Zea mays: one gene and its partners. The main gene of each other region encodes a partner of the protein of the gene in region 3 in a complex. Links are inferred from orthologs where the notes say so. Each region holds a gene or a part of one and is shown on either strand. Other genes may lie near its edges.

Evidence for each region.
Region 1: Mediator of RNA polymerase II transcription subunit 28-like (region 3) and Mediator of RNA polymerase II transcription subunit 33A share a complex: the UniProt entries of both Arabidopsis thaliana proteins name them as parts of the mediator complex. The link is inferred for Zea mays from reciprocal best matches to the Arabidopsis thaliana genes AT3G52860 and RFR1.
Region 2: Mediator of RNA polymerase II transcription subunit 28-like (region 3) and mediator of RNA polymerase II transcription subunit 14 share a complex: the UniProt entries of both Arabidopsis thaliana proteins name them as parts of the mediator complex. The link is inferred for Zea mays from reciprocal best matches to the Arabidopsis thaliana genes AT3G52860 and SWP.
Region 4: Mediator of RNA polymerase II transcription subunit 28-like (region 3) and uncharacterized protein LOC100276155 share a complex: the UniProt entries of both Arabidopsis thaliana proteins name them as parts of the mediator complex. The link is inferred for Zea mays from reciprocal best matches to the Arabidopsis thaliana genes AT3G52860 and MED9.
Region 5: Mediator of RNA polymerase II transcription subunit 28-like (region 3) and mediator of RNA polymerase II transcription subunit 18 share a complex: the UniProt entries of both Arabidopsis thaliana proteins name them as parts of the mediator complex. The link is inferred for Zea mays from reciprocal best matches to the Arabidopsis thaliana genes AT3G52860 and AT2G22370.
Region 6: Mediator of RNA polymerase II transcription subunit 28-like (region 3) and Mediator of RNA polymerase II transcription subunit 21 share a complex: the UniProt entries of both Arabidopsis thaliana proteins name them as parts of the mediator complex. The link is inferred for Zea mays from reciprocal best matches to the Arabidopsis thaliana genes AT3G52860 and MED21.
Region 7: Mediator of RNA polymerase II transcription subunit 28-like (region 3) and mediator of RNA polymerase II transcription subunit 25 share a complex: the UniProt entries of both Arabidopsis thaliana proteins name them as parts of the mediator complex. The link is inferred for Zea mays from reciprocal best matches to the Arabidopsis thaliana genes AT3G52860 and PFT1.

The regions. Positions count from the first base shown.
Region 1 is NC_050097.1:165,228,203-165,231,154, forward strand, and holds the end of Mediator of RNA polymerase II transcription subunit 33A, read right to left. Parts: intron 2,913-2,952; coding exon 2,237-2,912; intron 2,083-2,236; coding exon 1,876-2,082; intron 1,786-1,875; coding exon 680-1,785; 3' UTR 501-679; downstream 1-500. UniProt on the Arabidopsis thaliana protein: Component of the Mediator complex, a coactivator involved in the regulated transcription of nearly all RNA polymerase II-dependent genes.
Region 2 is NC_050097.1:176,295,864-176,299,363, reverse strand, and holds part of mediator of RNA polymerase II transcription subunit 14, read left to right. Parts: intron 1-398; coding exon 399-573; intron 574-1,103; coding exon 1,104-1,713; intron 1,714-1,824; coding exon 1,825-1,959; intron 1,960-2,144; coding exon 2,145-3,121; intron 3,122-3,500. UniProt on the Arabidopsis thaliana protein: Component of the Mediator complex, a coactivator involved in the regulated transcription of nearly all RNA polymerase II-dependent genes.
Region 3 is NC_050103.1:84,916,337-84,920,109, forward strand, and holds Mediator of RNA polymerase II transcription subunit 28-like, read right to left. Parts: upstream 2,469-3,773; 5' UTR 2,323-2,468; coding exon 2,133-2,322; intron 1,699-2,132; coding exon 1,586-1,698; intron 821-1,585; coding exon 686-820; 3' UTR 501-685; downstream 1-500. UniProt on the Arabidopsis thaliana protein: Component of the Mediator complex, a coactivator involved in the regulated transcription of nearly all RNA polymerase II-dependent genes.
Region 4 is NC_050097.1:1,837,529-1,841,677, reverse strand, and holds the start of uncharacterized protein LOC100276155, read left to right. Parts: upstream 1-1,349; 5' UTR 1,350-1,514; intron 1,515-1,665; 5' UTR 1,666-1,700; coding exon 1,701-1,961; intron 1,962-2,594; coding exon 2,595-2,657; intron 2,658-3,132; coding exon 3,133-3,213; intron 3,214-4,149. UniProt on the Arabidopsis thaliana protein: Component of the Mediator complex, a coactivator involved in the regulated transcription of nearly all RNA polymerase II-dependent genes.
Region 5 is NC_050100.1:126,532,858-126,537,095, reverse strand, and holds mediator of RNA polymerase II transcription subunit 18, read left to right. Parts: upstream 1-1,438; 5' UTR 1,439-1,828; intron 1,829-2,022; 5' UTR 2,023-2,032; coding exon 2,033-2,068; intron 2,069-2,835; coding exon 2,836-2,935; intron 2,936-3,008; coding exon 3,009-3,066; intron 3,067-3,134; coding exon 3,135-3,491; intron 3,492-3,593; coding exon 3,594-3,696; 3' UTR 3,697-3,960; downstream 3,961-4,238. UniProt on the Arabidopsis thaliana protein: Component of the Mediator complex, a coactivator involved in the regulated transcription of nearly all RNA polymerase II-dependent genes.
Region 6 is NC_050099.1:37,999,029-38,002,606, reverse strand, and holds Mediator of RNA polymerase II transcription subunit 21, read right to left. Parts: upstream 2,249-3,578; coding exon 1,955-2,248; intron 1,312-1,954; coding exon 1,240-1,311; intron 1,143-1,239; coding exon 1,091-1,142; intron 1,020-1,090; coding exon 943-1,019; 3' UTR 933-942; intron 759-932; exon of another isoform or gene 756-758; 3' UTR 501-755; downstream 1-500. Other genes in the region: putative X8 domain containing family protein isoform 1 precursor, read left to right, coding at 1-106, 202-227. UniProt on the Arabidopsis thaliana protein: Component of the Mediator complex, a coactivator involved in the regulated transcription of nearly all RNA polymerase II-dependent genes.
Region 7 is NC_050097.1:178,589,898-178,592,069, reverse strand, and holds the end of mediator of RNA polymerase II transcription subunit 25, read left to right. Parts: intron 1-532; coding exon 533-619; intron 620-692; coding exon 693-1,352; 3' UTR 1,353-1,672; downstream 1,673-2,172. UniProt on the Arabidopsis thaliana protein: Component of the Mediator complex, a coactivator involved in the regulated transcription of nearly all RNA polymerase II-dependent genes.

The DNA of each region.
Region 1 (2,952 bases), on a different chromosome or scaffold from region 3:
TACGAGAAAATTTCTTCCGGTATGTGTGGAACGTGCTCTCCAATGATGAGACCATGCAAATCGTAACATATATCGAAGTTTGCATGATACTGATGGTTGCAATGTAGTGGTGAAACAGATAGATTATAAATAACAAAATTTATGTATGCCAGAATCACAAATTGGTTATGAAACATTTTCTCATAACGATATAACACATTTTGTATATAAGTTATCATAGTATACTGGTATTATATATTCCCGTTGCAACGCATGGGCATTCAGCTAGTTACATAGAAGGAAATACCTCTATTTTCTAGTTGGGGCTTTATATTTGAAATTGTTTATGAGTTTAGGGTCTCTATTGAAGTTGCTCTTATGAGCTGGCTGACAATTAACTCTATAGCTTTGGAACATGGTCTAACTTTAATCAACTCAGTGGAAGCTGCATGAGAACTGTGCCAAACATGTCCGTTCATAAACCTAGGTTTTACATTCTGGTACATCATTTCTTTTTTTTGCAAACGGGTAGATGAAGGTTAGTATTAGAGAGATCAAAACGTCTTAACAGTTTTACAGATAAAATCATTCAAATATTACCCGTGAGCATACACATGGCCAGATTTTAACCGATTATATACAAAAACTGCATCATCGCTGACGAACAGCATACGCCGCGCGGCGCGCGCGCGCATCGGCGTCACAACTCCCTGCCCAAGATCATCTCCGCGGCTGTGCCCATAGCCTCGGGACCGGCGCGGCGGAGGAGCGCCACCGCGAGCTCATCCTCGCCCCAGTGCCGGAGGCCGCTGCTCAGGCGCTTGAGCACCCTCAGGTCCACCTCCTGCACCCAGCACGGGGTGCATTCAACCACCAGTCCTAGGAACCCAGAGACGTAGGCTCGCCACAGGGAGAGGTCGCAGCCGAGGAAGATCTTCCCGGCCAGCGCGCTCGCCAGGAACCCCAGGTGCGACCGCATGACCCTCTCGCGGCGCCGGGACACGGGCGTCTGGTCGATGCCCCAGGCCAACATCCCCGAGTACACCGCGAAGTAGGCCAACGCGTGCCCGCCTAGCTTGTACACCACGCCTCCGCTAGCCCCGCCCTGATCCAGGTTCTGCGCGGACAGGAACCAAGACGGCAGCATCTCCTGGATCAGGGACTGGACGAGAGCCGTGCCGCCGGATAGCCAGACGAGTGTCGCCCCCAGAGATGCCGCCACCTTCACCTGCGTCATTGCAGCGGAAAGAGATACCTGGCCATGCCTCATCCCGTACTTGGTCTTCTTTAGCTTGTCTGGCCTTTGTCTGGGCACAGTTGTTTCTGCGATATCCTTCACTGAGAGCATCAGAAGGGAGAGTATGTCCTCGGCGAGTATGGAGCAGTCCTTGATGCACCGGAATATCCGGAGGTAGAGGATTCCTGGCGCAACTGGCGAGAAACCACCAGGGCAGTACCCGTGGCCCAGAAGGCTGGCGACACCTCCACAGCTGCATACTGATGTCGAAGACATGCCAAGGGTAGCGGCGAAGCAACTTCGGAGGAGCTGGACGACTGCATCGTTGTTGTGGTGGAACACAGTGCGCGAAGCTGAAAATATTAGGAAATCGCTCCATCGCTTCACCTTCTGGGTCCACAGTGCTGCAACGATTGCCATGCTTGGCCAAGGGCAGCTTGCAGCCAGGTTCTCTAGAGCTGGACCAGCAAGGTTGAGGAAACACTCTGATGCCTTGTCAAGCTTGTATGTGATTGTGAGGCTCACGAAAGCAGCCAATGGTAACGGAAGTGTACCTGAAGAGCTTCCTCCTGCAATACATGAGACCTGGATTAGTACTCACTGCATGAAAACTGGTATGTTGGCTGTAGCAATGGCAGGAGATGAACAGGAACCAACACCTGTAACTAGCTTTGGAACATCAACACCGGTAGCAGCTACGATTTTCTTGATGTGCTCATCAACCATGGATAGGTTCACAGAGGGGCTAGGCCAATCTGATCCATTCATGGATGCAGGCTTCCAGACACCCCGCGTCACCTCAGCGGAAAAGTAGCTTACTATTGTAGCAAGAGATGCAGGGAGGAAATCAGCCAGATCCTTCAGGCCTGAAAAATGAGATGACATAGTTATACACCCTGACCCTGAATGAGCATTTTCTAACATAAAGGTTAGAAGCCACGGTTGGTACTCTTTACTCTTGATTATCGGATAAAAGTAGCACTGGTTTCTAAAATTGCCTTAAAACTGAACACAACCGACCTGTGGCCAGTTCACGTGGAAATAGTCTTCCATGGGAACAAGCAGTAAGAGCAGCATCAACCACAAAAGGAACAGCCTCCAGTATCTCCCAAGCTGGCAACTGAGGCCAAAGATGTGAATCATCCCCACCAGGACTGGAAGAATTACTTATGCTGCTACTTCCAGATAAAGAACCTATTGATGTGCCTCCTTTATTAGCTTTTCTGAACATCTGATTAAGAAGGCTATCCACATTGTTACGTACAGGTGTCCCATGAGCAAGTCCAGAGAGAGTTGAGGCCAGACAAGCTTGGTGCTGCTGGTACCATAACTTCAACTTTGGAAACGAGTCCATAAAAATAGGATTTCCAGATGATGGGTGTGAAGTTGATACTTGTGATTGCCTTTGTCCGTTTCGTTGTTTTGACAAACTGCTGGAAGATAGGACCTGGGAATTCCGTAACAGCAGAAGATACTCAGGAGTTAGCTGCGAGCCAACTGGAGCACCATCTCCCATTATGCAATACTCAAGTGGTGGATGGTTAAACTTCCAAAGTCTCAACAGAAGAATAAATGCATTCGAGAAGACTGTGTGAGCAGATATTTCCTCTCCAGTTCTCAGTGTCCAGGAAACACTTGGAGAAAGACACCCAAATACTTCACAGATTGCCATAAGAGAAGCAGCCAGCTCTGGAATCTGGTGATACGGAGAGGAAAAAGTTCAGAATCAAAAGATA
Region 2 (3,500 bases), on a different chromosome or scaffold from region 3:
TAACTTTTTCGTAAATCGTAAGTCAAACTTCTCTAACTTTGGCCAAGTTTTTAGAAAAATATATTAACACCTAATTGTACAAATAAATGCTCTATGCCTCTATCAAAGCTTATTGCATGGAAAATTTGATAGAGCTTATTGAATGGAAATTTTAATTAAAATAATTTGGTGCTATAGATGTTGGTTCATTTTTTCCATAAACTTGGTCAAAGTTAAAAAAGTTTGACTTGGTATGAAGCCAAAGTGAATTATAGTTTGGAATGGAGGAGGGAGTATCACGTAGGAGTAACACTCTTTTTTGCCCTGAAGACAAATAATAATATATTTATGTCTTCATTCCTGATTTAGCATTTTCAACTTCCTAATTTTGTGACTCTTTCCTTGTCCCTTCAAAATAGGAGTGGCCGCTTTCTCCTCCAATCACCAGAAAATATATTACCCCGTGCTGCACTTATGGACTGTGAGGAAGCTCTAAACAAAGGGAGTACATCAGCTACCGAGGTTTTTTCAAGCCTTAGGACCAGGAGCATTCTCCACCTACTTGCTGCAACTGGAAGTTTTTTTGGCCTTAAGGTTGTTTATATGTTTACAAATATACAAAGATGTCTGCTCTTTTCGTTTAGTGGATGTGGTGTCATCTTTGCTTGTTGCGTATCATTTGAAGTACCATGGGATGCATGCAATCACACTGCACTTTTGATCAGTAATATCCTTACAAATAGTTAGATTGGTGACATATAATGATGAAAATGCTTTGTTGACTTCCATATTATGATGCTTTGAAGTATACTTTTGTAGTATTATTTATGATTATTATTATTGTGGAATCAATGAGATTGATATTGGAGACCACAAGATGACACCCTTTTAAGTATGACTTAGCAGTTGTAATGCTTGTTCAAATTAATTGTTGCTTTTCTGGAAGTGAATTTTCTTTTAGCCTCTGAGAAGAGAAACAGTACAAATGATGTTTGCTTGGTTACTTATATGGAATATAAGGCAGTCTACGGTAGTACGGTTTATTATCAGATGACTTGTTGGAGTATGCCAAAGTCTGCTTGTTCAAACATGAAGTGCTAAACTACATTGTTTTTGTTTTATAGGTTTACCAGCAGTCTCAGGGCACTCTGAAGATTCCCAAGACCTTATTACATGGCTCAGATTTGATGGTCATGGGGTTTCCACATTGTGCAAATGCCTATTATCTGTTGATGCAACTTGATAAGGACTTCAGGCCTGTTTTTCATTTGCTTGAGACACAGTGTGATGCAAATGGTAATACTAATGCAAGTGGAGATGTGAAAGAAGCTATTAGATATAACAAAATCAATATAGGACAGATGCAAATACTTAAAAATGAGATGAATGAGAACCCTTTTGATGTGAAGCTGCAGGCCCTACAAAGTTTAGTGGACTCTGCTGACATGATGGAGAGTGATCTTCCTGTCCAAAATGCAATTGAACCTCTTCCACTACTTCCTGCTTGTTCACCATCATTTTCATCTATTGTTGATGAGGTTTTCGAATATGAACGTGGTTCTACTGCTGCGCAGAATCGTTGTCTTCCAGTTGATATTCAAGGAATAAATGCTAGGGTTGTCTCACCAATGCATGATGGATGCTTATCTTATACCCAAGCTAATAATAACATGAATGTTCATCCTAATGTCAGTTTGAATAGCTATTTCCCAAGTAACTTTAGACATTTACAAGGTACAAACACATTTTCTTCAAACCCTGTAATGTCTATGACCAAATTGTCAGGTTCTAATTCTAATCATGACCTGTGCTCGCTAAGCTCTCCATATGACTATGACATTGCAGGTGCAAATAAATCACTTCAGCTTGTGCCTTCAAGCAACGATAACAGCAATCAAATCCCTGCTCAAAGCTCACATTCAGGGAATCTTGGGAATGCTACGCCTGGCCATTTGATTGGATCTTCAACTACAACCGGAGGTATTTTACTATTTTTTTCTTCTATCTATTAGAGTCAGATGTAAATCTTCTGGTAACCATTATGGTGAACTAGATTACAATTTAGATGTAAAACTTTTGGTAACCGTTATGGTGAACTAAATTATGGTGTCATTGGAAATATAAATTGTTCAAATATATGTTATCTTAGTTGGGCAAATTTTCAGGATTAGGGAAGCTCATCACTGCTGGTTCTGATGGTGCATCTAGGAAACACTATCTTTCAGATTTCTTATCAAGTATCCCTTCATTACGAGGACTGCAACCTAGTGAGCCAAGAAAGCGGAGAAAAAAAACAGAATCAGTGCAGAGTCTCCTGCCTTTGCAGGCACACTCTTCTAATTTGCAATCAAGAGGCAGTCTCACCTATGGAGATGTTCTTGCTGAAAGAAATAATTGTGTTCCGGCAACTATATATGCTTCTGTGCTACTACATGTCATAAGACACTGTTCATTATGCATCAAACATGCCCAACTCACTGCTCAGATGGATTCCCTTGCGATTCCATATGTTGAAGAAGTTGGTCTGCGGAGACCATCGTCTAATCTTTGGTTGAGATTACCTTTTGCACAGGATGATTCTTGGAACCATATATGCTTGCGCCTTGGTAAGGCTGGAAGCATGTCTTGGGATGTTAGGATAAATGATCCACATTTCAGGGAACTTTGGGAACTTAATGGAGGAAGCACCAAAACACAATGGGGTGTTGGCATTCGCATTGCGAATAGCTCAGAAATGGATTCACATATCTCATTTGATTCCAGTGGTGTTGTTTTAACTTACAACACTGTTGAGGCAGATAGTGTCCAGAAGCTTGTGTCAGATTTACGCCGACTTTCAAATGCTCGTTCTTTTGCTCTTGGAATGAGGAGACTGATTGGTGTGAAATTTCAAGACAAGCTAGATGACAACCAGTTAACCATGGAGGTGAAATCACAATCTGTTAATAAAGGTAACAGTGATGCTGCTGACAAGCTATCTGAGCAAATGAGAAAGACATTCAGGATTGAAGCTGTCGGTCTAATGAGCTTATGGTTTAGCTACGGCACCATGCCTATGGTACACATAGTTGTTGAATGGGAGATTGCTAAGGCTGGTTGCACAATGCACGTTTCTCCAGATCAGCTTTGGCCACACACAAAGGTATATCTTCCTTTTCCAATTTTTTTTCTAGACCAATCACATTGGATGTGTACTTTGGATCTTAAAATATCAAACCTACAGCCAATATTTGAATACTTTCGACATTGAAAGTTCACCAGGTTACTCAAATGCATATCAATGCTTTTATCAGAAATAATAAAAATTTTATGTGTTTAGCCACTTTGTAGTTCCATCGAACCACAACATGCTGTAAATTAATCCTGACTGTCAATTTCAATTGGAAAACATGTCCTTGAACATTTTCCTGCGAACAAATTGACATCGTGCAGGCTAACCTGTAACCACTGGCCACTGTTCAGTTGCATACTTGCCAGCTTTTGCATTCACAAAAAGCATTTTTCTTATACATTTATCCTCT
Region 3 (3,773 bases):
CTCATCCAATTATCTCCAATCCATATGAATTGTGATGACAAGGATTATGTCCTTAGGTCTTGTTCATTTTATAGCAAAATCATATGGATTAAGGTGTATTGAAATGGATTGAGAAAGATTTTGACTAGTAGTGGATTACTGAACAACCTGGCAGTGCACCTTTAGGAACGGAGATAAAACACAAAGTGTTTTTTTTCGCTTGCTCGTGTATTCAACGTAGCAACTGTGCCACTTGGCTCGGCTTTTTGTCAGGAGAAGGTTCTGTTCGAGCTGATCCAGGCACAAATGGAGTAAAGATAGAAAGGAACTTGCGAACATGGCGGCCATCCAGAGTAGGCACATAACCCGCTAGGCTGACTCCAACAGTTCACCCAAAGTTTACCCATAAATTCACCCAAAGTTTACCCATAAAGACAGGAAGCCGTTAGCATTCTATGTCGTTTTATGATGGCAGAGACTCATTTTGCACAACAACAGAGACCATGGGGCAAGTAAAGGTACACAATCAAACATAGATAAAGTGGGCTTTGTTCGTGGCTTCCAACCTTAAGAAACCAACAAAAGGCGATTGCTAACCATGGCGTCAGATTCTAAGCACATGTACACAGTTTTATAGGGCATAACATAACATTTGGTCACCTAGAGGTTCATGATCACTACAAGGTAAACCGCAGAATCGCACTCCTCACACCCTTTCAAGCTCCGTGATGTGCTTGCTCAGCTGCTCCTTCAGTTCCTTTTGCCACCCTTCAATCAACTTCTTGTGCTTGGCAATGAGCTCAGACTTGCTCTTCAACTCTTCCTCCATTGTCGTAATCTCCTGTGCAATGCAAAACCGAACATGCCAACGAGATGATAAATATTGGGTGGGTATATGTATCCCAAATTCCTAATTAAGACCAGCAACTATGCACCTGTGATTCTCTCAACTACTGCAAAGGCATTTTTTTACAGAAACGTGTGCATGAAAAATTCATGAGCACAGAAGGTGTTAGGTGTATGAATGTGATTGGGTGTTCCTTGGGAACATTACTTTGTAGAAGTGACGATTCAGGCAGGCTACCAGTTCTTTCAATAATGAACACCTCAACTTCGAGTAGAAATATAGGAGTCTTTGTAATAAAGCTTATACTGAGTGTAACAAACTGCCTGTAGCAAGTAGCACTATGTGATTTATAAAGTTGGCTATTCCTAAGTATAGTGCCAACCACAAATGATCACAGTACTTGGGATGATCATATCATGTGAAATGTCAATCCTATCACCAATGAAAACTTTTAAGGGAGTGTTTGGTTTGAGGAGTCACTCAATCCAAAATGATGTGGTGTATAATGAGTCCATTCCTCAAATTTGCTGGGATGACCTTATTTCTCATATTAGTACTAACTAACTATAAGGAATGACTCCATTCCTTATTTCATTCCACAAATCAAATAAAAAAAGAGAAGTGAGAAGACGATGGACTAGCTCATTCCTCAAACCAAACACTTTATAATTAATTCATTCTCCATAACCAGTCCCCAATTTAATTTAACTACTATCCTTGCCGCACTCTTAACTATACGAGGATAAAGTAGAAATATACCTTTCGAAGCATCTCTTCTGCAGATGGCGGTTCCTCACGCTGCAGGCTGATGAAATAAGACTGGAGCTTCTTGGCAGCCTCCATGAAATCCCTTGCGTGCCTCTCAACATCAACTGCCCAATTTAGTAGAGACTACAACACTTAGATACCCTGTTTGGCAGGAACGAATGAGAAAATGCAATTAAATTTCTCTAATAAGCATTGCACACTATTAAGTCGGTATCTAAAAATGTGATTTACTTCTTTAATAAGCATTGCAATGTGATTGCCTGATTGGTACAGTTGATACAAGTTGAGTTCTCAGTCTAGGACCTAAGAAACCAATCGATATACAATTTCCTGGGCACAAGAAAGATGCAAAATCTTCCTCTAGAAAGAGCAAGATCCCTTTATCCATCCCGTAGGCAAAACAACGAACATGTGGCGCGCGACGGCGCCATTAACCGACCGAACACCATGAGACTTTACTGGTGTCGAAGCCGTGCCGGATCAAAGTGAAGCTACCTCTAGAGGAGGAGAGTGGGGAAATGATGGGGGTCGGCCGTACTCTGGTGGGAGGACTGGAGGGAGCGGTCGACGGCCTGGAGCTCGCGCGCGGGGAGGCACGGCAGCAGCGCGGCCTCCAGCGCCGCCACACACGCCAGCATGTCCTCGAGCCCACCCGCCGCGGGAGTCTGCTGCGTCGGCGGCGGGGGCGGCGTCTGCGCTGGCGACTGCGACGGCGTCGGCTCAGCCATGACGGAGAATGCGGAGAGAGGACCCGGAGAGATTGGGAGCGCTTGGGCCTCCGATTTGCTATTGACAAGGAGGAACTTTCCGTTGGATTGAAGACGCACGGCTAGGATTGGTTTACAAATGGCGTGTTCTGCGCCTGGATAGGCATAGGCTCGAGGGCTGAGGCTGCCTTGGCTGAAGGAAAGCGCATAGTTTGTTCAGGCTGACAATTTTCTGAAATATTTTTTCTTTTTTATAATAGCACACTTCTTCATATTTTGGTGCCTAAAATTTAGGCAACACTCTTATATACCACTGATTGCTAATAAAGGACCATTTGGATCCTTTTATTTTCAAAGAATTGGAATTTACTCCCTCCAGTCTTCAAATATTTGATGTTTTGGACATGACCTCATATACCAAGGAGCTATTAAATAGGGTTGTTATTTTCCATAATACCCCTAATAAATACGCTTAGATTCCACAACAAACACATGAAGATGTTAGCCTAGATGGTTGGGTCCTAAAGAATTTTACACTAGGTCGTGAGATCAAACCTTCACGATAAGAATAATTAAGCATATGTGGAAGAATGTGTGAACCACTTATATCAAGGGTATATTAGTCCAAAATAAGCTTCAAATGCTTCAACATCAAGCATTTGCTAGTCCAAAATAAGCTTCAAATGCTTCAACATCAAGTATTTGCATCCAAAGTGAAAATCACTTAAACATCAAGTATTTAAAGACTGGAGGGAGTATTTAATAGAGTAGGTTATTTGATTTGAATTTGATATTACACCACTTTCCAAAGTTTAGATATAAACTCATCTCAAATTCATAAGATGGGGTGGAAATTGATTTTATGTATTCAATTCTACGTTTCTACTCTGTAATTTATAACACACTCTTCTACTCACTCTCCTATAGTAGAAATGTAACATATAAATATCTCTCAAATATGGCCAACACTAATATACAAATATACTCACTATAAAACCATATTAGTTTAATTGATTTATGTCTAAATTACAATTATTATATTAGAATTCAATTCCAAGGGTCCAAAGGGGGTCTAAGACTATAATTTTATTGTTTACCTTTATGTTATAACCTATATTTTTTCCCTTAGCTAACTACTAAAATAATTGCAAAATGTTAATGGTCTTTATGTCAACACAAATCAAAATCTACCAAATTTATGATTTTGTTCAATAGATATTTTATTCTTAAGAGTAAAAATGTAGATTATGTCTATATAAATTACAACACACTAAAAACTAAAATTCAGGTACCTAAAATTTAGTAAATCACTTAAGGGCTTATTGAGAAGTAAGAAATTTTAACCCCTCGATCCCCTCCAATCCTGTTTCTCCCAAACAAGCCCTAATAGTTGTAACACCCTAATTTTTGGTTAGGACATGGAACTAAATACCATACCTCATTCCTTGTGAAGTTGTTGAGGTCCTCTTGCA
Region 4 (4,149 bases), on a different chromosome or scaffold from region 3:
AAGAATTTTGCCCTCATAACGATCACGCGTCACCTAGTGTGTGTAGGCATATACTTTGTATGGCGCATTGTGCTGCCTTCCCCGGTATACGGGTCACTGTAGAGGCTCCAGTGCTGAGGTTTTTTCTATGACTGGGTTGACTGACCCCACATGGCAGTGGGGATACGCCTTAGAGCGTACGTGGTGGCGTTCAGTCGTGTCGATAGTGACCTCCTGGCGCCCCTTCGGTACGTTGCACATATGTCCGGACGTGGGTTGATGATGACGCGTCTTGTCGTAGCCATCACGGGTTAATAGCGTTAGGTTGGGACCTCCGCCTCGTATGGTTGCCCAATTTGGAGTTGGTCGACCGCTCCTCCTCAAAGGGTTGCTCAGTGGGGAGTTGGTCGGCTGCTCTGCTTTGCGAGGTTGCTCGTCGATGAGTTGGTCAGCCGCTCTGCCTCTCGACGAGGAATTGGTCGTTCGCTCCATCTTGCAAACTTGCTCGACGGAGGACTTGGTCGTCCGCTCCGCCTCGTAGGCTTGCTTGGCAGAGGGTTGGTCGGCTAATGGGCCGGAAGGAGGTTGTGGGCTTACTTTTGGTTACCCTGTTCCTAGGTACATGACAATTTACATAGTAGAGTTCTATTTGGTAGAGCTCTTTTAATGGCCCCTCAACAGCTTCTTCAAAAAGGCTACCAAATGGTGGGCTCCTCTCGTGGCTTCTCCATAAAAATAGGAAGGAGATGTCCCTAAAAACCGAGGAAAGCCCAGAGCCTAAAAAGGAGGCTTCTCTGACTCGACTCTCTCTTGTCACTCACCCTCCCATGAAAATAGGAGTAGTTGTGTTTTAACTAAATAGAGTGTTCTCCAAGGGTTACTAAAAATAAGGATCAAACTATTTTTTTCAGATGAGCCAGAAGGAAAGCCGGTGATGCAAAAATCCTACCAAAAGGGAGCCTCAGAAGAGTCAACCCACTTTATAATAGTACACATATTCAAGTTTTAAAATTATATATAACCTTAAAAATCATCTATATATTTTGAGCTTTTAAAGTGGGCTAACACGAACCCTACTAGATGTTAGTGTCGGCATGACATGATTAGACACTATAGTGCCGTGTCTAGACAATAGTACTAACACATCACGACACATTTACTAATAGTGTCTAATAACACCATTAATGCTGGACAGACAATCTATTTAGCCATCTATAGATGAATAAGGTTAAAAAACACTATCTATCTCCTCTCGTATCTAATATCTATCCACTATTTCAACTCCAACGCTACAAACAAAGGTATGACTATCGTACAACAACAGTTCTTTAGACGGCCATATCAGCTGGACACAGCCACCGTACTCCGAGATTAGCGCCCCCGTCGGCCAAACAGTACCGGACTGGCCGCCGTTCACAGTTCACGCCCCGCGTGGTCCCTATTTCCCGGCGAGCACTAGGCTACCGCCGCCGCCGTCAGGTGCCGGTGCCCAGACCTTCGTCGTGCCCATTTCACCGGCGACGAGCACCCACTAGGTATGCCCGTCCCTCCTCTCCCCTATCTGCTTTGCGAAACCGAGCACTCAAAACCTAGCTTAAGAATCGGATCTGATTCAGGAGTAATTGCAAGTATATGCATGTATTATTATGCCTACTAAATTACTAATAACTTCGATTTTTCCAATAGCCCCTGCCCGCAGGTGTTGGGAACTGGGGATAGAGATGGATCACCACCACCCGCAGCAGCAGCAGCAGCAGTACGGCGATCCTTACCGTGGGCTCATGACGTCCCCGCAGCCCGACCACCACCTCCACGCTCTTCAGTACCATCAGCCGCAGCCGCAGCAACAGCCGGCGCTTATGTCTCCACCGCAGCCACAGCCAGCACTGATGTCTCCACAGCCGCAGCAGACACTGATGTCTCCACCGCAGCCGCAGCAGCATCACCACGCCTCTCTTGCCTCCCACTTCCACCTCCTACATGTAAGTAACGGAGTGTTTGGAGTTGTGTGGAGTTTTGTGTTTTGGGGGCCTTTGCTCTTAGTTTAAGATAGCATAGATGATACATACCCTCAAATGAACCCTTCTTTTTGTAGTGATGTCATTGATGTTGTTGGAGTGTGCCCTTTGTGCACCGGAATTTCAAAATTCTGAACTTGGGATTTTGCTAGTCATTAAAGATTGTCATTAATTTGTCCTGTATTTGTTGCTCAGCGATTGCAATTTCTTCACACCATGATTTGTCACTTTGGCCGGTAGTGAAGATTGCCATATTATAGGTGTACATGAACGATATACAAGCGTCAGAGCGTGCAACATTGGTAATGGCCAGAGAAAATGTTGATTCTAATCACTCGAGTTGGTTTGACAAGAAATACATAAATTAAAAATATATATGAGGGCACTTTAGGTATTGTAGGTTTTCTTAAGCTGGCAATCACATGTCTGTATTGGCATCTAACATTTAGGCTTATTTCCAATGGCTTTTTTGCAAGTAGCAAATCTTTGTTTCCACTTTTATGATGGCTCTTCTTCCTTTTACTCTTTGAGAAAGTACTAGAATGTATTGTGAAATACTGATAGTTTTCTTCTTTGCATAATTTTGTTCTCTGTTAGTTGGTTACAAGATTAGCCGATGCTATTGGTACAGGAACAAGGGACCAAAATTTCGATGCACTGGTAAGAATCACCATTTACTAATTTTCATTTGTTTTATGGATCAATGTTCTTGTACTCATAGTGCATGATCTTGTCAGAAACAATAGTTGTAGCTTCTTCTAGGCGTGGAGCCTGAATATTCTTATACAGAGTTTGAATTGACATGTGATGTAATTCTTAAATCACTTCCCAGAGAAGAGACAGGTCACAAACAATGCTCTAGTGTTGGTGGTGCACAGGAAGCTTGGGACCAGCCCAGGGTGACAGGGTCTGCACGGTTCAGTTTTCCATAGCCAAAACCAAGCCAGTGGAAGACATACCCTTAGTTATGCAATTATGCAATTGCAGAAGCATGTTAAAATTACTACTATGTATTGTGTACTTCCATGCTGATTTCTTATAGAATACCAGCTAAACACCATATTTTTCCCAGCGTTTTGCTAAATCCTAATTCCAATAGCTACTGTATTAAGAGAAGCTTTTTATATATATCTAGGTTGAAGAATTGACCAGCCAGTTTGCTAGGTGCCAACAATTGTTGAACTCCATATCGGGAACAATAAGCTCAAAGTCTACTGTAAGTTCTGTTACTTCTCTTTCCTGACTCATATGCTTTATTCTTAGTGGTCTTCTGAATTTGATAATAATTACTAAGTTAAATTGAACTATTCTGGCTAATGAATCTCAATTACTTTGTTTTGGTATCCAATAAAATTTTCAATTGCACAAGAATTAAGAATTTTTTCCAGAAATGGATAATAAGACGGGGTATAGTAGATCTGTTGCAGGTTTTTGTGTTGTCTCATAAAATGTCTATAAATATTCATGTCTCTAGGCAAATCCTTTTAAAAAGTTAATTCACATTTATTTAAACATCAACAGGAGCATTGCCATATTATATAGAAGGCATGGGACTAAAAGGCTTTCTTTGGGACTGCCCCAACTTGATTGGAGCTAAAAGGCTTTGTTGTTGCCAGAAGCACTAGCATATCATATAAGAACTCAAATGTGCACGGTGCACACATGTTGTCCTCATGCTCAAACACGGATGAGGCTGCCCAAGCAGTCTTGGAACGTGCCTACTGAGCAACTCACACACATAGAGGCTTAGTCCCCTCTGATGAAAATCCCGTGTGACACCTGAGTCGCCCCAGTCAGGGATCAAACTCGGGTAGTAGCGCTCGCACGGTCGCACCGAGCGGCCTTAGTGCCTTACCACTGACTTACTGAGCCATTGTTTTGTTTTCTAATTCACAATTATTAGTTGTTAAGAGTGTCTAAAGTTTGGCTAGTTTTGGCAGTTTTTACTGCTGGGTTACTAGTACGTAATAACTGATGTTACTAGCCAGTAGGGACTGTCGGTTTAGTGGAGACCGGCATGAGCTGCCTTCCTTAAAAAGCCCTAGTTTTCCAGTTGATACCGGTGTCAGTGCTGTCATTACGATCTACAATATTTAGAACCATTTTAATAGACCTAATATTGCTAATTTTATATGTTGTATGGTGCTGGTTA
Region 5 (4,238 bases), on a different chromosome or scaffold from region 3:
ATAAGTATAGAATGAATCAGAGTAAGGTAATTAGGAAAGGGTTTTGTCCATTTCTATTTAGGTTTCGTCCTACAGTCAACATTTTCTCTGATACCACTTCTGTCACACCCGGATTTAAGGAACAAAGCCGAATGCATCTCATACATGTGCCAAAGAAGACAACATATATAATAACAGAGTGTATAGAGATAAATGTCACAATAACATCAGAGTACTTATTACATCGCGGAAGTCTTACAAAATAAAAGATAAATATAAATCGAACTAAAATCCATCTTTAGCGCCAATAAGTCAACTGGGAGATGCCACCTAGATTAGATCAAACTCCTCATTGTGTGCCTCCTCCTGAACCACCTGTTCTTCTCCTATGGGGGTGTGAGACAGAAAGGGTGAGCTCACATATGATCATAGCTCAACAAGTTGTGGGGAAACTAGTGTGCATGAACTCACCAAAGGTGAGAGTTCATGTGAAGTGTAAGGCTGATCAACAAAATAAAGGTTGAAGCTGAGCATTGCTTTTATAAGTTGGTCAAAATTTTATTAGCAGTTACTAAGTGTAAGTAAATACCAAACCATAATAAATAATAGAACAAAATTAATAAGTAATCACATGCAATGCAAATGACAAATTGAATTTAAGTTCCATTAATTAATCATGCGACAGTTCTGAGCTGCTCATGACCATGAGCTCGGCTAGTATACCAGTTTTACACTCTACAGAGGCTGTACCCTGTATCCACAAGTAATGTTACCCATCTACCAAGGGATCGCGACTCTCATACACCTCTACCAAGGAAGCGAGACAGGGCAACACTACGAGGCCTTTATAAAGTTCCACTAGATTTCGACTTGCAAGAATCCCCCGTCTGACCGCCATCGCAGCAAAATCAACCGAGAACCTCTCTGCATGTAACTCTCTTACTGCCGTTGCCCCTTTCGGGTAAGGTAGTTTTCCACTAGCTTTCCTAATTAGTTAGTCAAGGGGTCTCATTCCTCTCTTGTGGTGACACATGTTTCTCAAGTTAAGCTCTATGTTCCAATTAAAGATAATAATCTTGACATGAATAAAAATAAAATAACAAAATAATTGGAACATGGATATAATGAAATATTAACCCAAAACCATGTAAAGAAATAGTAAAACTATCAAGTGATTTAGGAATAAAAAGGTAAAGTGATAACATATCTAGAGTAACCTATTAGGTCTTATCAAAATTAAAATAAAAAAAGTGACAAATAAGGCTGAACAACCCCCGCACCGCGACTAGGCTGAACAATCCTGACTCAAGCCCACGGTTTATCTTTTCTGTCCGAGATCACCAAATTTTGATACTTTTTTCGTTTTCGCTATTAACCAAAAAAACAAATTTCAGTCCGTTTTAAATGGATTTGATTCAAAATATAACAATATAAAAAATAAAAGATTAGTCAACGAAACGAAATTTGGATCATTCCAAACGAGACTGTGAACTCTCCCAGCTCAAGCCCACCTCCCTGCTCAAGCCCAGCCGTCCACTGCCTGGCTCCCTCGTCCGGTCGTTCCCGTCTCCCTCCTCGCGTCGCGTCCACCATTGTTCCTGTCGACGCTGCGCCGCACGGCTCGCACCGCCGACAGTGCCTCAGTCCTATCGAGCCTCCCTCTTCCCAGATCAGGCCCTAGCTGGGCTACAGCCGCCGCCGCCGCTGCCGCATCCGTCACCTTCACACCGCGTGCGCGCGCGCTCTCTCTCTCTCTCTCTCTTTGCGACGACTGGACGGGCTACCGCAGTCGCCACCATAGGCACCACGCCCTTCGCTGATCTATTCGCTGGCGAAGAACGCTCTCAATGTATTCCCACTCCCACCCCCTTCTTCTCTCTACCCGCTGTGCGAAAACGAGTTCCCGAACTCTAACCTAACTATTTGATGTCTACTAACTTCTAATTTTGTTTTTTACTGCCATACTGGTCCACCCCTGATACACATATAACAAATCCACTAACGTGATTCTTTTTTTTTGGGTGCAAAATCATTGTGGGACAGTAGAAGATCGATGGAGTGCGTGGTGCAGGGAATCATCGAGAACCAGGTATTGTGCCACAATGCAAGTTGGCACTGATGGTTTATGTAAAATTTGATTTTCACGCATTCCACTAACATTTGAAAGATAGGAGCTCTTTCATCATCGTTAGTGCAGTCTATTTTGTTATGCAGATCAGACATTAACTTTTCCTCTCACTGCTTGCATCTAGATTTGATAAGTATTTTGAATGGTGTATAGATTGTTAATATCTATTTGTAAGTATATACTTATAGTATTGAATTTGTTGTTGAACATTTCGTTACTAATTGAATTCCGTTGCTGTGGACAAAACAATCTCATATTGATGTACATGTACAGTGCACAATGTTGAGCTTACGCACCATACAATCTAGCTTCATTTTAGTGTTCAGTTGAGCTCCCTTAGGTATGGCCACTATCCATAGTTGCCAGTTGGTGGTCACTTTTCTGTTTACTCCATCACAGATAAATACTAACAAAAGTTTATTTTATTGAAGTGATAAATAGATAGATCATGTAGACCACTAAATGTCAACAATTTATTCCGCGCTTTAAGGCACTACTTCTGGAGCTTTTGATTTCATTTGTTTTTTTTCTTCTCAGCATGTTAACAGAATAGTAACATTTAATATACAGTTGGGGGAACATATGATCTATCCTTGTGCTTTTACAATAGAGAGGAACTTAATTTTTTGGTATGTTCTAGTTTATGTGTTGTGCACAGAATGTAAGTTGCTCTTTGTTGTACTGCTCTGCCATTAGTTTAACCTTTGTTTGATCTTTCCATTTTGCAGCATGTCGATGCTCTTGAGGTTCTACTCCAGGGACTCTCTGGTGTCCCGAAAGAGCGTTTTAGGGTGCATGAGCTCTGCCTTAAAAGTGGGCCCAATCTAGGTTAGTTTGTGATTAGTCTACTCCTCCATTCCTACACATGTGGCGTATTAACTGACGTCTTGCAATCATACAGGTGTTGTCCCATCGGAGGTTCGTTTGTTGTGTGACTTAGCTCAGCCCACACCATCCTGGTAACCGAGACAAGCTGCTGAAAGTCTACCTTTTGTTATGTTTATCATTAATTGTGACAAGATTGTAGGACCATAAGACATGTTGGTGGTGCCATGAGAGGTGCTGGTGCGGAGCAAATCTCAGTTCTGGTTCGTACAGTTGTGGAGAGCAAAGCTAGCAAGAACGTCTTGCACTACTTCTACACCCTAGGGTACAAGCTAGACCATGAACTCTTGAAGAGCGGTTTTGCATTTCGTTTCCACCGAGGTGCCCAAATCACTGTCACTGTTACATCTGCTAACAAGATGTCAAGGCTCCATGCAACCGATGAAGCTACGCCAGTCACTCCTGCCATACAGCTAGTGGAAATCACAGCTCCTGCTGCTGCTGATAATTACAATGATGTTGTTTCAGCTGTCACTGCGTTCTGTGAATATCTTGCCCCGTAAGTACCCCAAAGCTTGAATTCCGAGGCAACAATCAGAAAACATATAAGAATGAACCAAACACCTTTTTGGTTTTAATAATCCTTGGAAATCTGCTGCAGGCTGCTGCATCTGTCAAAACCAGGACACTCGACAGGAATCGTTCCAACAGCAGCCGCTGCTGCTGCCTCACTCATGTCAAGTGGCGGTGGCAAAACCTTGTAATGCTGCTAGGACAGCCAAAGTCCGTTCTTGCTGCTAGGACAGCCAAAGTCCGTTCTTTGAGATGAGTGGGCGTGGCTAATGAGGTGGCCTTCTTCGTGCCGAGCATTTGAGCAGTCAGTTTTGCCTGCTAGTGTTGTCCATGTCTGACACATCGTTGTGCCAACCTTGCTCTTGGTTTGACTGGTTGCATGATTGCTGATGGGTAATGCCCTGCCTTGTAGTTGCAGGGTGTAACAATCTAGTATTACCAATATTAAAATTTCTCAAAAATCCAAACCATAATTTCTTTTCTCAAAAAGAAGTTTATCTCATGTGTATATATTTTTCAACTAGGTGAGTGCCCGTGCGTTGCGACGGAAGTAAAAAAATTGTATGAAATATATAAACGGAACGACAAATATCATTATGATATGCAAAATCCGTATGGTAAACATTATCAATATTAGTGGCATGTCCTTTGTGGAAAGACCACCCATTAAAAAGTCATTGATGCACCCATCGGTCGAGACGTTGACAGGAGATTAGTATGACACTTAAGATTG
Region 6 (3,578 bases), on a different chromosome or scaffold from region 3:
CTGTCGCGGGCGTCGGTGGCCATGAACGCCTACTACCAGGCCCGGGGGAGGAACTCGTGGAACTGCTTCTTCAACGGCACCGGCATAATCACCATCACTGACCCCAGTGAGTGCTTCCTTGCTTGCTGTGAGTGTCTCATTGCCCGTGAACCGTGTTGGGGGAGCTGACACCGGATGATGGATCATTGGATCCTCTTGCAGGCCTTGGCACCTGCAAATATGCTTGACACGACGGGCTGCTCTGCTGCTGCTGTGCTCAACGGACGATGAATAAGGCTGTAGGGGAATGATGCATCTTTTCCTTCTCTTTGTTTTGTTATTGTGTCTGTGTGAGTGAGCAGGGAGTATCCTTGCAGAACCAACCAGTATCATGTCTGAGCACTGTAGAGAGAATTTCCGTGCTTTTATTTCCCAAATACAGTTCTACTCCAGGCCAGTGGCTGGAGGGGAGTTTAGGAACAGGTGTCAAAGGTCTCAGGTACTGAACAAATACCAAAATATAGAAGAAATCCCAGAGGAAGCCAGGTGCCAGATCCATTAAAAAGACCACCACAGTTCAAGCGTCAGTTCATACTAAAAACATTGCACCTTACAACCAAAGGTCAATCCTAATCCGGCAGATCAGAATGCCAGTACACAAAAGCTAAGTGCAATTATTGTTCACTAGTAGAGAATCTGAAAAGACGGAATATAAAGTTCTTACTGGCATTCATCCTCCACACTCCATCCACAGGAACAGTTTCTTTTCAGCAAACCTGCTATGGCAGACATTGGATTTACGTCAACACAATATCTTATGAGCTAGATCGGTTTCCAACACTTGATGCCAAATACATACAAAACCAAGAAGTAACTGTTGGAGCCAAATTAAAAGAGAAATTGACTTTGACAGTGCATTGATAAGTTGTAGGAAGAAATTCATCTCAACTTACATTAACGTAATTAATCTAGCTTCTTAAAATTTATGCAATTGTCTGTTGCTTCATTAAACAGCACCTCAACCTGCTTCAACTCCCTTTCTGTAACGCAATGACATCAGTAATTAGACATATAATAGTAAGAACTCTAGAAACAGTGGGGATCGTGTTACCGGCAGCTTCAAGTTGCTTCTGGAGCTCCAGTCCCACGACTTCATTCTCTGCCTGCAAATTTCAGATTTTCATACAGTTTATTTGGAGTAGGAGTTTGGCAGATGCCCATCCTGTGCTCGATGAATTAATCTGACTGTCTGATATCTACCTGTAGCTCTTGGATTCTTTTCACTTGATCCTCTTCTGATGATAGTGGCACTGCTGCAACAAGTGCATCAAACTGCATAGAAGGCCATAATTGTTCCTCATTTAAGGGGAAAAAGTTGGAACTGCAGCAAGCATAATTTGAACTAAAGTTTGCCAGTCTTTACATTTCAAGTTTTCAACCATGGTTAACACAAAGTGATCTCCCTCACTCCCTCCCTCCCGTATGCATCACTCTACGTCTGTACGCTGTTGTTGGGATAAACATCTTATCTTAGGAAATGGAGCAAGAGATGAAGATTCTACGTCTGTACGCTGTTGTTGGGATAAACATCTTATCTTATGAAATGGAGCAAGAGATGAAGACTCTACGTTATGTACATTGTTGGGATAAACATCTTATCTTATGTAATGGAGCAAGAGATGAAGATTGTTCTGTACACTGTTGGGATAAACATCTTATCTTATGCAATGGAGCAAGATATGAAGACTAGTAAGTGGCAACACGGTTTCATTGTTTGTCTCCACATAACGCGGGCAAGCAAGCAAAAATTAAACAGTTGGTCCTTCACTTATTCGCAGCATCAGACTTACGAGTAAAACTACGAAGCGAGCCGAAACTTTCTACTTAACCACACAAAGATATTTTGGAATCACCGGGCGGGCATTTGGTCCAGAAGATGGGGACACCGAGAAGAGAAGTGGGGCAGGGTACCTACCTTCTTGGCCGCGAGGACGAGGGCGCGGCTCATAGCCTTGGGTTGCTCGGTGAGGTCAGGCGCGGGCGGCTGCGCCTGCGCCTGCGCCTGCGCCGGTGGCGGCGGCGGCGCGCCGGGCTGGGCCTGGACCTGGGGTTTGGAGTCGTCCTCGGGCTTAGGGTTGGGGTTGAGCGGGTCAGGGTAGCTGCTGGAGAGGCGGTCCGGCGGCGCGTCCCTCTGCAGCGTGCCGAAGGTGTTGACGGCCAGCACGGCCATCTCGTCGAGCTGGTCCTGCAGCTGCGTGATGATGTCCATGCCGAATCCCCACCACTCTCTCCCTCTTCTCCTTCCTCCGTCCCAGACTTGCAGGACGGCGGCTTTATTGTAGCAGGCCGATTTCATCCAGGAATGGGTCTGCAGGATCCAGCCCACGTAGCATGGACCAGGCCGGATCTAAAAAATGTATGTGCCGGTATTCAAAAGATGCTCGCTCATATTCCTGGGATACCACCAAGTCTTCCGGTCACCACACATTTGCAGAATGCTGAGCCATCGGCAATTTTACCATTGTCATTTATAGGCTTCATTAATATGACGTCGGACCCTAAATTATAGACACAGATGATTCTATCAGTTATAGATATGGGATAATATAATAAAGTCAAAACTGAGAGTGACAAAATTATAAATTGTTTGGCACCAAAAGGAGCGCGGACGGAGGCCGGACAGTCCGCGGTCCGGACAGTCCGCGCCTGTGGGCCGGACGGTCCGTGCGTGCGCAGAGTAAATTAGGGTTCCGAGTTTTGTGCTATGTTTGTTAGCTAAAATCGCGGGAAAAGCTCGGAAATTAGTTTGTAAAGGGTCCAGCCCCCTCCTCTATAAATAGAGAGGTATACGGCCGATTTGTAATCATCAATCGAATCAATACAACTTATATTTCACATTTATTTCCTGTACAATTAGGAGTAGTTCTAGTCTAGTTCTAGTTTAGCCTCTCGATCCCCAAATCTTCCGCCTCTCCTCGACTCTACGTCGATTAGAGAAGTCTAGGTCAGTCTACCCGAGCCTAGACACCACCTAGGATCTCTCCTCCCCGACGGGGTCCCTCCCGGGAGCGAGATCCAGGCGCCGCCGGCGATCTCCCGCCGCCCCTGCGCACGCGCGGACCGTCCGGCCCTAGGGCGCGGACCATCCGGCCGTCAGGCAGGGAACCTTAGCTCCTGCGCCAGGTCGCGGACCGTCCGGCCCTGTGTCGCGGACCGTCCGCGCCTGACCAGAGAGCACCACCGCCTCGCGCCAAGTCGCGGACCGTCCGGTCCTGTGCCGCGGACCGTCCGCGCCTGACCAGAGAGCACCGCCGCTGGTTTTTTTAAGTGATTGGCGCCTCCAAAAAGGTGTCAACATACTTTTTGGCGACTCCGCTGGGGACACAAATATAGACGCATCAAATCGGCCCTCAATGGCCGGTTCAAGAGATAGCTCTAATATTTCCCCAAGCAACATCATAGAGCCGACTTAGGAGACCTTGCCGGCTGACGAACAGCTCCAGTTCGAGGAGCACAAGGAGCAGATGATCCAGGAGGCAAAAGCGAGGTTCTTGGCCAACTTCAAAGTGGACAGGAACAACAAAGTCGTCCGACATCGG
Region 7 (2,172 bases), on a different chromosome or scaffold from region 3:
TCGAACCGTGGCCCTCTTCTATAGATATTCTAAATATTGTGTTACACAGAGGATAAATATTGTAAATATATATACATACTAATACATTTAAATTTAAAAAAATATAATCATGCCACGTCGGACCGGGCCGGCACTATAGACTGAGACGGTGGCTCAGGCACGACATGGTTCTCAGGTCGGGCCGCGGTACTGTTAAATGGGCCGTGCCTTGGGTCAGTCTGCTAGACACGACCTATTTGGCTATCTATAGTACAATACCTTCTTTCTCACTATCTCTGATCTCGTGAGCGTGGAAAAAAGCGAGAGAAAAAACTTCATCTCATCTCACCACACATCCGGTTTAGACCGTGTTTGAATAAATATCTTATTTAAATAAGATTTATCTTTATGATATATAAAAACCGTAGCAACGCACGGACAACTAACCAGTAATTTTGTTATTTTGCTGCGGTTCATCTACTGTCGTTTCATACACTTAGTTTTCTGTCAGTTACTTTATACAGTTCTAATATCCAATTGGTCCTGGTTTCAGTGTGCTGTGATACAGTTACCATCGCAAACTCTGTTGCTGTCGATGGCTGACAAAGCAGGTCGTTTGATTGGCATGCTCTTCCCTGGGGTAATCTTGATTGTAGTTAAATTAATTAATGTTCTGCATAATTATCTGCATTTACTAAATGACCTTTTCCCAGGACATGGTGGTGTTCAAACCGCAGGCCTCAACTCAGCAGACACCAATGCAGCAACAGCAGCTACAGCAATTTCAACAGCAGCAGCAGCAGCTGCAACAACACATGCATATGCAGCCGCAAGGCCTCCCACTTCAGCAATCACAGATGCAACTCCAGCAACAGCAGCCGCAGATGCAACCGATGCAGCAGCAGCAACCTTCGCAGATGCAGCAGCAGATGCAATCGATGCAGCAGCAGATGCAGCCAATGCAGCAGCAAATGCAGCATCAACAGCAACAGATGCAGCATCAACAGCAACAGATGCAGCAAATGCAGCAGCAGCAGCAGCAACAACAACAACAACAACAACAGATACAGCCTCAGCAGCAACAGATGCAGCAAATGCAGCAGCAGCAGCAGCAACAGATGCAGCCTCAACAGCAACAGATGCAGCAAATGCAGCAGCAGCAGCAACAGATGCAGCCTCAACAGCAACAGATGCAGCAAATGCAGCAGCAGCAGCAACAGATGCAGCCTCAACAGCAGCAGCAACCCCAGATGGTGGGTACAGGAATGGGGCAGCAGTTCATGCAGGGGCACAATCGGGCAGTGCAGATGATGCAAGGGAAGATTACGCCACAGGGGCCGGGCAGCATGCCTGGGGGAGGCTTCCTACCTTAAGCACCTTTTATCAGCAGGCATCAGATGAATTGAGGGTTTACACTGACCCAAGTGTTGAGATGTCAACTTCATTTGACAGGGTTAGGGAATAGTCACTCGGGGAGTGTTGCTAAAACTTAATCTGAAAACTTAAGCATCCCTGTCACCGATAGGTAAATGCCAGATGTCCATGCATAGGTGCATACTTTATGATATGGTGGTGTACTCGTAATCTTGAGTGACTTTATGGCATTGTTGTACTAGCCGTAAACTATTAGGTATAACAGAATTATTATTTAAACTACAGTAAAATAAGTGACCTGTGTTGTTTAGGGTTTAAATGGTACGTTAAATAGGTAGTTGAATCATTTAAGCAGTTTAAACTGTCTAAACGATTTACATTGAATCGAGCTAAACATGATTAAATAAGCTAAACAACCATTTAATTCATACTTTATTCAATATTAGCATGATTAAATAAGCTAAACAATCATTTAATTCGTCGTTTAGTCAATATTAGCAAAATTGTTTGTTGCAATAGGAATGTAAGTAAAATAGACTGATGCATAAATTTTAGTATTTGATGATTAACATAATCATTTGAACTAATATTGCTTGCTAGTATTTTAAGTAACATTATTTATTAGTATTTATAGATATAGTTTAAAGGATGCAAAGTGTATTTGAATGAAGATAAATTGGTGGTATAAATGATCAAAACCTCAAGCAAGACATTGAAAAACGTGTTGAAGACCTTTTATAAGAATATGTAGATGCATCCGAATTGAACACAAAGATCATAAAAAACTAAGAGAACACTTTGAGCATATATTGGACTATA